Linked DNA regions of Drosophila melanogaster. The protein of the gene in region 2 interacts with the protein of the main gene of each other region in a pairwise test. Each region holds a gene or a part of one and is shown on either strand. Other genes may lie near its edges.

Region 1 (4,711 bases), on a different chromosome or scaffold from region 2:
CGGATGGTTTCTACTACTCTCACTGCACATATGAAGTAATCTTTTCTGGTCCATAATTTCCTCACCTAGTGTGCCAGTAGATAGATTTTATATTCGTATTAGGATAAATACCCAGAATATGAGGAAAGCGAATCAATTGAATACCGATACCGATAAGGCAGTTCTGAGTTTAATGAAACTGTCATCGATATACATATACGGAAGCTTTCAGTATTATATCAGTGCTCGTTCGCAGCTGTAAGCAACTGGTTGATATTTTTAGTGTGATTTGAAGAGTATAGAAAAGCATGCGTTGCTACAAGCGCGTAGACTCCCCGCCGCCCTACTCGGATCCATTCGCCACCGCTCCTCCAGCGGAGGACGTCATGCAGCAGAACCTGGCGTCGCCCGCACATCCCAATCCGGTGATACCCGTGATGGCCCAAACCATGCCGGTGTTGCAGCCCGTAAGCGTGATGCATCACCAGACGACAGTGCTGGTGGACAATACCCGCCAGGGAACGATCTGTCCCCACTGCAACGCTCGGATTCGCCTTCGCGTGGAGCACCATCCTACCGGATCAACTTACTGTATGGCGGCGTTGCTCTGCCTATTCCTGTAAGTAGATCGCATTTATGGTTGCAAGTATAGCAACAAAGGTTTGTACATACATAATGTGTATGTAAGCAAACGGAAAAAGAAATGTTTTTACTAGTCTGCTATATCTGTGGCCGCAATTGTTTTGCTTCTTCCTGGACAAGCTATGAGAAATTGCTGATCGTGCCTTATAAGCTATATACTCTATTTCCCATCTCTATCCACCAGATGCTGGCCCTGCGTCTGCGCCCCTTGCTGCTGCAACTGTTGCTACAAGACCTCCCAGTACTGTCCCAACTGCAACTCCTGCTTGGGTTCGTTTTGAAGACGCAGCGAAAACACTCGCCGATTTCATATCATTTCATTTTATATATATGTATATATATATACATAACCAACTATACATACATATATGTATGTATGTTCATATCTCCTTATGTATCGACGGCGTCAATGTGGTGTCTTCATCACTTAACATACATAAAAATATGTTTGCTTAGTGAGCAAAATAAGCTGACAGCGAAAAAATAAACAAATAGATTTTGAAGCGAATGGAATTTTCTTTAATTTCTGTTTCTGGGTATCTGGCTACATTGTTGCTGCAGACAACTAGATTTGCAGAAAAAATAATGTGAAACTTAATTGTTCATACGTTTTTTTTTTTTGTTTTTGTGTACTTTTTGGCGGTCTTTTCCCGAAACTTTTTCGTAGCACAACTCTTTTGTGTCCAGCAATAAATGTTGATATGAAACTGTTTTGAACCGGTAAAATGTTGCTGGGACGAACCGGCATGTTGGCACAGTTTAAATTGATGCTAAGATGCTTCAAGATTACTGTTCATGCTATTAAATGAAATCACTGAAGTTCTTTGCATTATAATTGAATATTTAGTAAAATATTTGAATTTCTGCTAAATGTTTAGTTCTTAAGAAATGGAATAAAAGGATTTTAATTTAACTCAGCCTAGGGATACGCTGTAATCAATTTTAAGGATGTATATAAATATCACTTCCCAGTTAGGCAACATAATGTTGCTAACGGAAATACTTTTGGAAGTGTAGTGTCCCGCTTCGCGCCCTAAACTTCTGACCGCACAACACTTTCGCAGCCCAAACAGTGCGCATTAACTTTTTGTCTCTCTGTGAAATCGGAATTCTACTTTATTTATTTTGACAACGTACCCACCCATACAGATTGTAAGTATGACGGGAGAGATATATTATGCAAGCCTAGGATTGGGTCAAACATGAGCAACGGACTATTATAGTCAGGTCTAATTGGGTAATATCTGGTTGTTTAGATGTTTACCGCTGCTTTGCCGCTCCCCAAAAAATTTACTTTTGCTTGGGGGAGAACTCAGCAAAGACATACAGGACGACAGTAGGATTTCGGGGGGAATGTTAATCACTGGCGACGGACACACCCGCTGTTAAATAAGGATACTGTGCTGGGTGGTTTGCGCTAGTGAGAACATACATAAATAGATTGTGTTGATTTTGGATAGGACCAGACCGAGCAAGCAAGTTGCACCAAACGACGAGCAAAGATGATGGATGGAATCGGGGTTGAGCGGGGCTCAGACACACGCGGTTGTGCGATGACGGCGTCGGCACGAAGCTTGCCACATGGCACAAGAGATTCCGTGGCCCACGAGGATGACCTCACGGCGGCAGGAGGGATTGCGCAGCACCGTGGTGCCATCGACGGGAGATAAGGCGGATTACAGCTTGTTTTGCATGGCGGGTGTGCAATTAAAATCCCCATTAACCAGCCAATTTAATGCTCATGCACCAGCGGCACGCGACGTATTCAAGTTTTCAAGGTCTGCGCTGCAATCAATATGAGAGTTATTAGAGTTTCCTGTGCTTTCTTTCTGCAGCTCCGCCATCGAAATGTCCACTTCCGTTGGCCCGGAACCGTGCATCGTGGTCTGCCCCAGTTGCCGTCAACAGGTTACCACTCGTGTGGAGCCGAAAGCCACCACCAAGACTCACCTGATAGCATTGATTATGTGCCTTACCTTGTAAGCCATGTTCGATATTGATTTCTTAACATTCTGGGTGCATTCTCATTGAGTGATCTCTTTCGTGCAGCCTTTGGCCCTGCTTGCTGCCTGTACTGCACTCAATGCGCCCGGAACTCCGACCACCACTGTCCATCTTGCAACGCCTACATTGGCACCTACGAGCGCTGAGCAACTTCCGCCGGAAGTTGTTTTTTTTTTTTTGTCGTGGACTGCAGCCAGCAGCCGTGCCGAAATGCAGCCCCCATTACTTATCCCCACTTGATCTATTTTTAACTCTCTCACATTTATTACTACGCACTATTTTGATAACAAAACAAATCATTGTAGTGCCGGCATATGTATTCTTCAGCACACCAATAAAAGGGTTCAAGGAAGAAACGAGTGGATTTTACCTGGGGGTTGATTTGTTTTAGAGACAACGCAATTCTTGAGCAGAGTTGAGTATTTCTTATGTTTTCAATAAATATGCAAATTGTTGTTATATACGTGCTAATAGCATAGCTGGAAGGACCATTTCGGAAGGGTAAAAGCTACTGGTTTGTTTACCTGACAATGGAATACCCTACTAAGTGCTAACATTTCTGTTTTATTGGTAAGTTTTGATATTAATTAATTCATCATGGCTGAGCAATTTCTTACTAAAGCTTTTCATCCTGCAAAAAAAAAAGAACACTTACTCATGTAAAAGCCCTTATTCTGATAGCCACATAATATTTAACGGAAATCGCTTAGCAAGCCATCCGACATAGTAGGGCTATATAGAATTCGCATCGCGCCGCAACTCGAAAGTTCGCCGAGCAATGTTGGAGGAGCTCTCTGCGGTTTCAGTCGCTGTCGGCAATTCAAACGCGTAGCACACATCGGTCGGAATAATTAGAATGGAGAAGAACTTTCAATACGAGAATATGCAGCCTCAGGCTCCGGGTTTCCAGGCACCGCCCAGTTATGATAGCGCACCGCAGCAGGTCTATCCTCAGCTCCATCAGGGACAGGGAGTGATATTGCAGGGTGAGAATACAGAGAACTATGAATCAATCGGAAATAATGGTCAATTCTTCTGTGCAATTCAAACATAAAATATAATATCGCATATTATACGAAATCCAATCGTGCCTCTTTCAGCTCCACCCAATGTCCTGGGCCAATGTCCATCCGTTGCCACTTGTCCGAGCTGCGGCGTCCGCAGGGAGACGAAGGTGGAGTTCGAGCCCAGCACCAAGACCCACCTGTTGGCCCTACTCATCTGCATGCTGGGGTAAGTGCAGCCCGTTTGCTCCACCTGCCCGCAGGACTAATGGCCATTTTCAGGGGCATTTGCTGCTGCTGCATTCCGTACTGCACCGACTCCTGCCAGTCGGCCAAACACACCTGCACCAGCTGTGGAGCCTACGTGGGCACCTACAAGAACTAGAAGTGCTATCTCAACACCAAATATTACAGGGATAGATCCCACTTTGTATCTCCACACCTATTGATGGGATCAGATTTGGCACGAATATTCACGAAATACAACTCTGGTTCAAATCAATTGAATATATGTATGTAATTTTCGCATTGGTTTACTTTTCAAAATAAATTTCTAATCACACAAATTGTTGGCGATATATGAATGTTAACACTTTCGTATATAATATTAATAAATCCCGGAAATTTCTGAGGCGGGAATATATTATAGATATTTTTATCTGAGGTTCTGCATCCTACGCCCTTTATATAACTTCATTCACATTGTTGATCTAACAATCGCTGCCTCTTCTTGAAACTGGATATATATATATATATATATGTATATTGAACAACTTATGTCAATGAACAGTGGAAAAAGGTTTGTAATTTAATACCTAGATTTTATATTTCCCCTCTTCGAATTAAACACTAAACAAAGGAATAGGGAAGAAACAAGGTAATTTGATCGCTTATCCGTTTATTTGATTACAACTTTTTCTGCAATAATACCAATAAAAAAGATGGGCAACAATATTTAGTTAATTTCATATAATTTAAAAAATGTTGGCAACTAGTATCCAGATTAATACCTGAAATGATGCAAATTCGATGTCCAATTTTATTAACATGTTTATATAAGTAAGTTATTATTCAAGCAAGCG
Region 2 (10,272 bases):
TACGTTGCTCTCCTCAGAGCCGGAGGTGCAGTATGTGGCCCTGCGCAACATCAATCTGATTGTCCAGAAGCGGCCAGACATTCTCAAGCACGAAATGAAGGTGTTCTTCGTGAAATACAACGATCCCATTTACGTGAAACTGGAGAAGCTAGACATTATGATCCGCCTGGCCAACCAGAGCAACATCGCCCAGGTGCTTAGCGAGCTGAAGGAGTACGCCACCGAGGTGGACGTGGATTTTGTGCGCAAGGCAGTCCGCGCCATCGGGCGATGCGCCATTAAGGTGGAGCCCTCAGCCGAACGCTGCGTGTCCACGCTGCTTGATCTTATCCAGACCAAGGTCAACTACGTGGTGCAGGAGGCCATTGTGGTCATCAAGGACATCTTCCGCAAGTACCCCAACAAGTACGAGAGCATTATCAGCACGCTGTGCGAGAATCTGGACACTCTGGACGAGCCGGAGGCACGCGCATCAATGGTTTGGATCATTGGCGAGTACGCAGAGCGCATTGACAACGCGGACGAGCTGCTTGACAGCTTCCTTGAAGGATTCCAGGTAAGTTTTTCTCTGGATTTGCCAACATTATCAGGACTTTGAATTGCTATTTTCTCTTTCGCCAGGATGAAAATGCACAGGTGCAGTTGCAGCTGCTGACGGCCGTGGTTAAGTTGTTCCTCAAGCGCCCGTCGGACACCCAGGAGCTGGTGCAGCACGTACTATCATTGGCTACCCAGGATTCGGACAACCCCGATCTGCGTGACCGTGGCTTCATCTACTGGCGTCTCCTGTCCACGGACCCGGCCGCCGCCAAGGAGGTGGTGCTGGCCGATAAGCCACTCATCTCAGAGGAGACCGACCTTTTGGAGCCGACATTGCTGGACGAGCTCATCTGCCACATTAGCTCGCTGGCCAGCGTTTATCATAAGCCTCCCACCGCGTTCGTGGAGGGTCGCGGAGCCGGTGTGCGCAAGTCGCTGCCCAACCGAGCCGCTGGATCTGCAGCTGGTGCAGAGCAAGCAGAAAACGCAGCCGGCTCAGAGGCAATGGTCATTCCCAACCAGGAGTCGCTCATTGGAGATCTGCTCTCCATGGATATCAACGCACCCGCCATGCCATCTGCTCCGGCCGCCACCAGCAATGTGGACCTTCTGGGCGGCGGTCTTGATATACTCCTCGGTGGACCGCCAGCAGAGGCGGCTCCCGGCGGTGCCACCAGCCTGCTAGGCGACATTTTTGGACTGGGCGGAGCAACGCTATCGGTGGGTGTTCAGATTCCCAAGGTCACATGGCTGCCAGCGGAGAAGGGCAAGGGACTCGAAATACAAGGAACGTTCTCACGCCGCAACGGCGAGGTGTTCATGGACATGACTCTGACCAACAAAGCCATGCAGCCGATGACTAACTTCGCCATCCAACTGAACAAGAACAGCTTCGGCCTGGTGCCCGCGTCGCCCATGCAGGCTGCTCCCCTTCCACCCAACCAATCGATCGAGGTCAGCATGGCCTTGGGCACCAACGGACCCATTCAGCGCATGGAGCCGCTCAACAACTTGCAGGTGGCCGTGAAGAACAACATCGACATCTTCTACTTCGCGTGCCTGGTGCACGGCAACGTGCTGTTCGCCGAGGATGGGCAGTTGGACAAGCGCGTGTTCCTCAACACCTGGAAGGAGATCCCCGCCGCCAACGAACTGCAGTACACCCTGAGCGGTGTAATTGGCACTACCGACGGCATCGCCTCCAAGATGACCACCAACAACATCTTCACCATCGCCAAGCGTAACGTCGAGGGCCAGGACATGCTCTACCAGTCACTCAAGCTGACCAACAACATTTGGGTGCTGCTGGAGCTAAAGCTGCAGCCGGGCAATCCGGAAGCCACTCTCAGCCTCAAATCGCGCTCCGTGGAGGTGGCCAACATAATCTTCGCCGCCTACGAGGCCATCATCCGTTCTCCATAAGCGTTCCATGGCGCACATCCGATGGCATAGGATAAGCACAAAGCAATTGGAGCTATCGATTTGCGTGTGTTGAAGATTAGCTCAACAATAAGTTGTAAATTTACGTATTATTATTATATTGTGTATTGGCCGAATCGCCACCTACATATATTATTTATGCATATGCACACATATAAAATCCAATCGGGTTCGTCGAGAGATCTGTTAATTGTTAATCGGAGCTGCTTGTCACTCAGTGTACTAACGTGTAATAGCAACGTTGCATAACCGCATTCCAAAACTCTGTAACCCCATATGTCCTATGGTCGGCATCTATGTATATGTTTGTGTCCTAGTAAAATGCGAAACACTAAATAATTGTGACATTGTTTTCCTCGACGGCAGTTGCACTAAGCACAGTTTCTATTCGCTTTCAATGGTCATTTCTACAAGGTTCCAAATACGCATGATTATGATTTATGATTTTAGTATTATAATTAAAACTGTGTATTATAATATTTGTCCGTTCGTAAGCCTGAAAGATTTTTATACTTTCAGCTCAAAGTCAAAGTGCATCAAAGTAAGTTTTCTAAGTCGAAGATCTGAGAAAATAATTGCATCAGTTAGGTTAAAAGTCAATATATTGATCAATATTTAGGATCATTAAAATCCAAAACTAGGCTTGAAACTCAAAAGTTAGATTTGAAATATCATATTTACTTGAAAATTCGTTAAGGAGAAAGAGGTTTTCCTGCTGCAAATATAGAATCCATCAGATAGGAGTTGCAAAGCGCTTTTCCCGCGCAGATCAACTTTGCGTCAAACTATGGCCACGCCCACATTGGCCCACGTATGTAAGTGGAGCATTCTGTAGCGATTTGTACAGACACCCAAAGCTATCGAAGCTACCGAGGAGTCAAACCATATCCCAAAGCTTTGCTTCCATGTTTACAGGGATAACCATGTTGTATGCAAAGGATATACATATATATATATATATAATGGATTCCCAACTGATCATGCTGGTCAGTGGAAAGATTGCAGCAATTGGTACTAACTGAGGCACCCACTTAGCAATGGTTGTAATGGGCTCATCAAGACAGCAGTGGACCAGTTAAGGGTATAAGCGGAATGTGGTATACCTGGTCAGGGATGCGAAGGATGGGTGGTGGCGTCGAGCTTCGGCGCCTGAGCTTTCGAAGCTTTCGCGCGAACCCTTCGGGGGTTGTTTGGATGCCTGTGCGACCAACGAGAGCGCAAGAGAGGACAGGCTTGCCCATCGAGGACGTGGACGTGTAGCCATCCCTGTCGTGGCCACAGGACACACTGACTGTTTGCCTGCTCCACTGTTTTCCTGTTGTACCACAAGCTATTCTGGCTTGGCCCCGATTGTAACGAATCCGTATCGCACGTCGCAGTGCGAAAATGTGTGCAAATACTGCAATGTACCCGCAGTAAATTGGCCGCAGGATCGCTTGACACTCGCTGCAAAAGGACATCCAGGTGCTACGCCCTATTTCGCAGTCAATCCAGCCAGGTGGTAGTATAGGTGTACAGGCATAGGTGTAACCAACCATGCCCCTGCGAACGGTGCAGGAATGCGGAGTCCTTTTGTGCCAGTGAAGAGCAACCAACACGAAACAACGCCACGAAGAGGACAATCCGCCAGTGCTGTGTAGAAGAACAAGAACCAGAACAACAAGGACAAGACCAAGAGCATCGAGTACACCAGATCGCAGATTCCGTTGAGAAGGGTCCGCCAAAAATTAGTCCGCCGGAATGAGGGTGGCGGCGGACATGGTGTATGACTACGGCAGCGAGGACTCCATGAGCACCACCCACCTGGACTGGCCCTTTCTCATCAAGGTTCGTATCAGCAGCCCCTCGCAACCGCCCTTGTCCATCAACCCCTCTTCCCAAACCCTCGACATATTTGCACGCTTTTTAGGTTAAGTCGAGACTACAATATGCAAAGTGTCGAGTATAATGTGTATAAGTGGGGTTTGTGTGTCAACAGCTTTGTCACTGCGAGGACGCGAATGTATGTAGAGCTTCATGTGCATCCCTGTCAGGCTCCCGAAGGCTTATTCCACCTTGTAATCGGATCTGGGGAGGGTAAAACTCCGCCAGCTGTAAACAATCCGTAGTCCCTTTAAATACAATATGTGTACATCCTTAGATCATATTTCGTATTATTTTATAGGTTGCTCATTGCTTATGTTTCTATGTTTATACTTTCTAAACTATGCTTGATATAGAACTACTATGAACTACTACTACTACTTCAACTATAATCCTTAATTGATATTCTAATGTAAATTTAGTCAAATAGGGTTTTTTTAGGAGAGAGTTCTTTTCGTCAAGTTCTTTAAGGATTATAACGATTCCTTTTCCCCTTTTAATTAATTCTATAGCGATTTCATTGGATAATATTCAATATGAAATATTACAGAACTTATAGGCTTTAAGTTAATCAGTCCCGCTGATTCCAACCGATTTAATACTAGTTATAGGAGATATATCCCGTGTTTTTATGTGAGCCAAGTGGTTATGCCTGCCACCGTGCAATGCGTTGGCTAAGTGGCTGCAAAATGGCCAATTTGAAGCCACCTGAAGTAGGTTGAAGTGAGTTACTGCTCACTGCTCTGGCCAGTGACCAGAAGTGAGCAGGGTGGTGTGCTGGGCGAGTAGTGGCGTCAGCGCACGGCCCTTGCTTGATAAGTGTGTCGTGTCCTTGGTCGCATTACGGTGACACGCCCCCGATAACCAGTGACCTCCTCCCGCAGGGCATCCTGGAGGGGCAGACGTGCACGCCCACTGCGCCGGAGCCGCTGGCCGCCATCCTGTGGGCCATCTTCGCCGTGTTTGGCATCGTGTACGCGCTACTCGGCTACCGATGCCTGCGCGCCGTGGGCTTTCTCAGTGGACTGCTGGTGGGCGCCAACGGGATCTTCATTCTGCAGGACTTCCAGATCACCTTCCTGGGCAAGCCGGCGGACTCGGCGCTGGCCATTGTGGCGGGTTTGCTGGGCGCGGTGCTCGGCTCCACATATCCGGTGGCCTCTGTCCTCATTAGCGCCTTTGCCGGCGCCCTGCTCTCCGGCGCAGCCATGGCCGTCTGCGTGGCCACCTTTCCGGACAACGAGTTTGGGGTAAGTTCCTCCCCTCTTTGTTTTGCTTGCACCAGATGCTTATATCGATTCCCCTACCGCAGTACCGCGAGATCTATGTGGCCGTGGTGGGTGGAGCCGTCATCTGCTCCGTGCTGACCTTGTGCTGCGTGAAGTACGTGACCATTCTCACCTCCAGCATTGTGGGCACGGCCATGATCCTCAGCGCCATCGACTTCTTCACGCACGGTCTGGAGACCATCAATTGGGTGAGTCATGTCTGCTCCACATGTCCACCATTGGCTGGTTCGATGTGAAGCTGTCTGTTTAGTTGATACGGAGGGTGGAGAAAGCATTGATGGAATTATATAACTCTCTGCAGATAATCGGCATGCGGCCGCATCCCTCGCCGCCACCTTGCTACGGTGGCCTCCTGATCGCCGCCTGGCCCGTCACCATTGTGCTCAGCATCATGGTGCAGTGCTTCATTACCGCCTGGCGCGTGGATCACCGCAAGCGGGTGTACATGCGGCATCACAACCATCCTGGCCACGCGCACGGCGCCCATCTGCCGCACAGCCAGCAGCAGGCGGGACCCAACCACGGCATCGCTCCCGTCCGGCGATCCCAATCCCGCACCCGGGAGACGCGCGAGGAGGCCAGGCAGCGCAAGTTCCGCTATCTGTACCAGGTGCGCACGGCCCGTGGTGACATCATATCGCAGGTGAGTGGTTTGCTCTCATATGGACCCGGAAATGCGAGTAAAGGTGTCCAAAAGTATGCAACAGTATATGATGTATGCATACCTAGGCACCTTAGCGCGTGACTACTGCGTCGTAGCAGACCAAGCTGATCCTGTGGGCATCTCTTGTTTGCAGAACTTCGTGTCGGCTCTGCAGAAGCGCATCCAGCTGAGCGGCACGGAGACGCCGTCGGAGAGATCGATAAAGAGCAGCTCAAACGAACGAAACACGTTCCGGAGCGACCGCACGCACTTCACCACCATCCACGATCCGGACTCGGAGCTGTGCGACAAGATCGAGATCGTCCGTGACATTGGATAACAAACAAGCAATAGCTACATGTAACTATACCCGTAGGGGGGCTACGGGCTGCGGTACTTGGGCGCGGATGTGGTCATGGTCGGGGGACACAACTGTATGGTTGGATAGTTAAACGGGATTGGGGGCTCTAGGGAGCCGCCACGTAGAGCGGCGGAGGACTCACACAAGTACGGTTGCATGTAGACTTTTTAAGACGAGGCACCAAGTGCCGGACACAACACAAACGGAAGCGGAAATGGTGGCACAGAACCGAGTGGATGGTCATTGGAAGCTTTAAATATCAGAGGATATACGACGGATCTTTAGCTGGTTTCGCATGGAAGCCTTGGAGCTGGCGCCAGCCACAGATCAGGGGGACGAGATAGTCTAGACTAAGATTAATCGCATCGTGCACAGCTAGAGTCTAAGATGATGGACAGCACGGAAGGAAGCTGGCAGGAAGCTTTTGTTCTCTTCACTTAATCGAATGTTACTACAGATAGGAATACCTACACTACATATGTATGTAGCGATGGGCTGCGTGATGCATGATTGTGGTGGTGGATCATGGGTGCCTGAGATTCCTGTAACTACACTATACCCAACGCAGTACTCGTAGCTTCTCCCTTTTTCGTATATAGCCAGGCAATTGCAATTACTAATCCGGTTCATATCTGTGTTATAACTCTACGATTATAATGGGATGCATCCCAGCTGCAGGAGTTCCATTTCAACTATCTAGCATGATATTTATATATATAAGCATTACGTTGTAAACTCCAAACACTCGATCATCGCACAGCAGTTTCTCGGAGGCTCAAGGCAGGCGAAAATACAATACAATACCTATTAAGTACAATAAGAGAGGGTGGGGAGGGGGAGGGGGAAGTTGGAGCCATAGCCATCTAGACTAGTAGTAGACTAGAACTAGGATTAGCCAGTTACCCGGATGAGCCAAAGCCACTAAGCCACTTAATTGTCGATACCAGTAAATCACAATCCGCTGCAAGGGGCGCACTTGGGGCTCGACCAAGTCAGAATCCAACGATCCGCTCGATCAGCCGTCTTAGCGTTATCCGTAAGATTAGCGTTCGAAATATATATATATATATATATATATATATACTTTAAGACATTAGATCCATGCAAACAGCGGTACAAACTTCAGAAATTCACGCTATATATGCTAGCCGAGACATACCAATTTAAGTGATATAAAGCATTTTAAACGGTCTGATTATGGGGCTTAATCGGGTTACTAGAGCGAAATGAGTCCGTGCATCTGGTTTTCAGAAGTCTTGTGGTCGTCTTCCATCCGCTTTTGTTTCCAAGCAACATTACATTTCATTTCAAAGTACGGACGTATTTCTCAATCCACAGTACGGATTAAGCCCTTTTAGCTGGACACACCTACAACCAATAAATAGATAAAGTGATGCGTTTAGGGGAAGAACTAGAACTGGAAGGGTTCTTTCTCCAAGCCGCAAAGAAGGATTGGACATTGCCGGGCAGGAACTTCCATGTCGAATCGGTTGGTTTCCAAGTCGCAAACACCTATACTAAATACAACTCGAGTTTCCTGTTAAGTTGATTAGCAATTAGTTTCTAGGAATGGCTGCCGTCCGCAATTGTTGATTTATTACTATCGAAGACTATAGACTTTATATTTCCGAATTTTGTTCTCAAACTCAAGTGCTTATACTTTGATTCCTATTAGTTGTTCACTCTATCCTCCTGTCGTTCTAATGTTCAACAGCAATGTCTAATGCAGCACGATAATGCATTTAACTTCGGCAAACAGTAGACGTTTTGTACGACACACTCAATTCGGTTTAATAAAATATATATATAAAAAAAAAGGATAATAACTGCAAACTAAAGTAGTGAAAATCATAAAAAGAGTTGCACACATGTATACACCACTAATGAAATCCAATTAAAAACTAATATAACAAAAAGGCCAAAAGCGATTATAACCAGAAAGAATCCGATTTCCGAATGAAATCAAGTCTTGAGACGACGGGCTGCCAAAGATTAAACAACTTGTAATGAGCAAACAGAAAAGTAATATTAAATAAACGATGCAGGCCACATGTGCGTTTTTCTTCTTTAAGTTACAGAACCTCTCATCCACTCACAACAAGTGGATCAAATGACGAAACACCGGACTCTTTGTGTCTAATTGTTTATTAATAATAACACATCGGAATACAGTGGCGTGGCGTCGATCTGATTCGGATGCCAGTTCGGCCAGCAACGGCAGGACCAAGAATCAAGGATCAAGGATCAAGGATCAAGAAGAAACAAACACAAACGATCGGTTCAGAATTCAAGTAATTGAACATTTGTGTATTTTTTTTTTTGTATTTGCCGATGATGGTCTGCATTCACCGCTGGGGAAAGCACAAACACAAACTAGTCTCTGTTGCAATTGCCGGATTCTGGTTACCACGCTCCTCTACCTCCGTCCGTCCATCGATCGTGTCCTGTGTGTTTGGGTGCTGGATTGCTGGGTTTACTGTGTTGCTGCGTCTCTGGCGCAGCTTAGATGCGGCCGGGGAATGTGCCGCTCTCGCGCTGGTCGTCCCACTTCTCCACCCAGGCGTTGGGGCACATCGACTTGTAGACCTTCTGGAAGTAGTTGCAGGGCGCGAAGTCCTCGCCGCGCTTCTTCTGGCAGCGGTGGAAGTCGATGTACGACTGGTAGCAGTAGCGGGTCACGTTCTGGTTAGGGAACCGTGGGTCGAACGGGGCGGTCTCCAGCTTGTAGGCGGACATGTTGCTGCTGTCTGACGATTTGTCGCTGCTTTTGTTTTTGGACATGAAAAATTGCATATAGACTTTAGTTGGCAAAGGAAAATAAAAACATAACGAAACGAAACGGTAAGGCAACCAAATAGTAAACCAAAACGAAGACCGGGACAGATGGATCGTTGTCCAAATGAAAAAGAAAGAGATGAACACAATGGGGTGGGATGGGATGTGAGGCGGTACACAACCGAATCGAAATCAAACGTAAATACAATTTCAGTGCATAAACGGGAAGGAAGAGATAGATATATAAATCACAATGGTTAGTTCTTCAGTTTGCGTTTGCTTAATGAGCGGTATATATCATATTATATTATATTATATCGATTCGTGTGAAAAAAATACAAATTACACTGCTCGCGCTTGCAGCTCATAAGCCCACCCACTCTCGACTAAAACTATAAGCTACGCATCTCTGCTCGCTTGTTTTCGTGTACAAAACATTTCAAAGGGGCCGGGAAGGGATCGCTATGTGATGGTGTCTCGGGAACAGGGGTATGGTCGAATCAAAATCGAATCTGCAGTACTGCGTCTGGGCAGTATACGTTTCTCGCTCTTTTTGCGTTCAAGTTCATGTTTCTATGGAAAGCGCGACTATTTCGGCGACTACTTGACCAGCGGCCGCTTGCCGTTGTCCGTATCGCAGGCGTTGCTCTTGTACTTGTTGACCTCGGCCAGGTACAACGACCAGAAGTCCTTCGGGTCCACGTCGCTCTCATTGGGCGTCTTCACTTTGGCCACTACGCCAGTTTTGAGAACTTTTCCGCCGCGACGTCGTCCCACGATGGGTGGCGGCGGCGCCAGCTTTCCGGCCGCCGCGGCAGCAATGTACGGCGCCGCAGCACTGCTGGCAGCTCCCAATGCAATGGCCGGCAGTGCAGGCCCTGTGGAGGCCGCCTCCGGCGGAACCAACTGCTGCTGCAGGACCTCTTTGACCGATGGCTGCATCAACTGGCTGGTCGCTTGCTGCTTTTGGCCCTCCTGCATCTTCTTAAACAGCTCCATGAACGAGCCGTCGTTGGCGAAGACAGGATGCGATGGTGGCTCAGGCTTTGGCGGCGGATACACTTTGCCCTCCCTGGCCAGTGCTTCGCGCAGCTTCTGCTCCATTTCGCGGTGGATGCGCTCCTTGTCAAAGGGCTCGTCGGTGTCCAGGTTGTAGTAGGCGCCCACCGCGGACGCGGCACTGCTCTTGCCAGCCAACTGGACTTGATTTGTGGCGGCGGCAGCTGCAGCGGCTGCCTTCTGTACGGCGCTTAGCTCCGATTTACTGGATGATGATGCATGGTGGCCTCTTCGTTGACTGTTGTTGGATCCATGGCCAATGTCAGAAGAGGACGGCGATTCCGAGCGTCGATAGTGGCTGG

The links. The genes of interacting proteins can lie anywhere in the genome.
Region 1: the proteins of CG14234 (region 2) and CG4250 interact in a two-hybrid assay, tested with the Drosophila melanogaster proteins (one large-scale study listed by BioGRID).

The regions. Positions count from the first base shown.
Region 1 is NT_033778.4:22,660,264-22,664,974, forward strand, and holds CG4250 (uncharacterized protein), read left to right. Parts: upstream 1-3,428; 5' UTR 3,429-3,481; coding exon 3,482-3,650; intron 3,651-3,725; coding exon 3,726-3,858; intron 3,859-3,911; coding exon 3,912-4,014; 3' UTR 4,015-4,211; downstream 4,212-4,711. Other genes in the region: CG42565 (uncharacterized protein), read left to right, coding at 288-598, 806-902.
Region 2 is NC_004354.4:19,732,269-19,742,540, forward strand, and holds CG14234 (uncharacterized protein), read left to right. Parts: upstream 1-3,301; 5' UTR 3,302-3,720; coding exon 3,721-3,807; intron 3,808-4,727; coding exon 4,728-5,093; intron 5,094-5,155; coding exon 5,156-5,320; intron 5,321-5,433; coding exon 5,434-5,775; intron 5,776-5,929; coding exon 5,930-6,115; coding exon of another isoform or gene 6,116-6,151; 3' UTR 6,152-8,188; downstream 8,189-10,272. Other genes in the region: AP-1-2beta (adaptor protein complex 1/2, beta subunit), read left to right, coding at 1-556, 622-1,962; COX6B (cytochrome c oxidase subunit 6B), read right to left, coding at 8,639-8,929; CG18809 (uncharacterized protein), read right to left, coding at 9,512-10,272.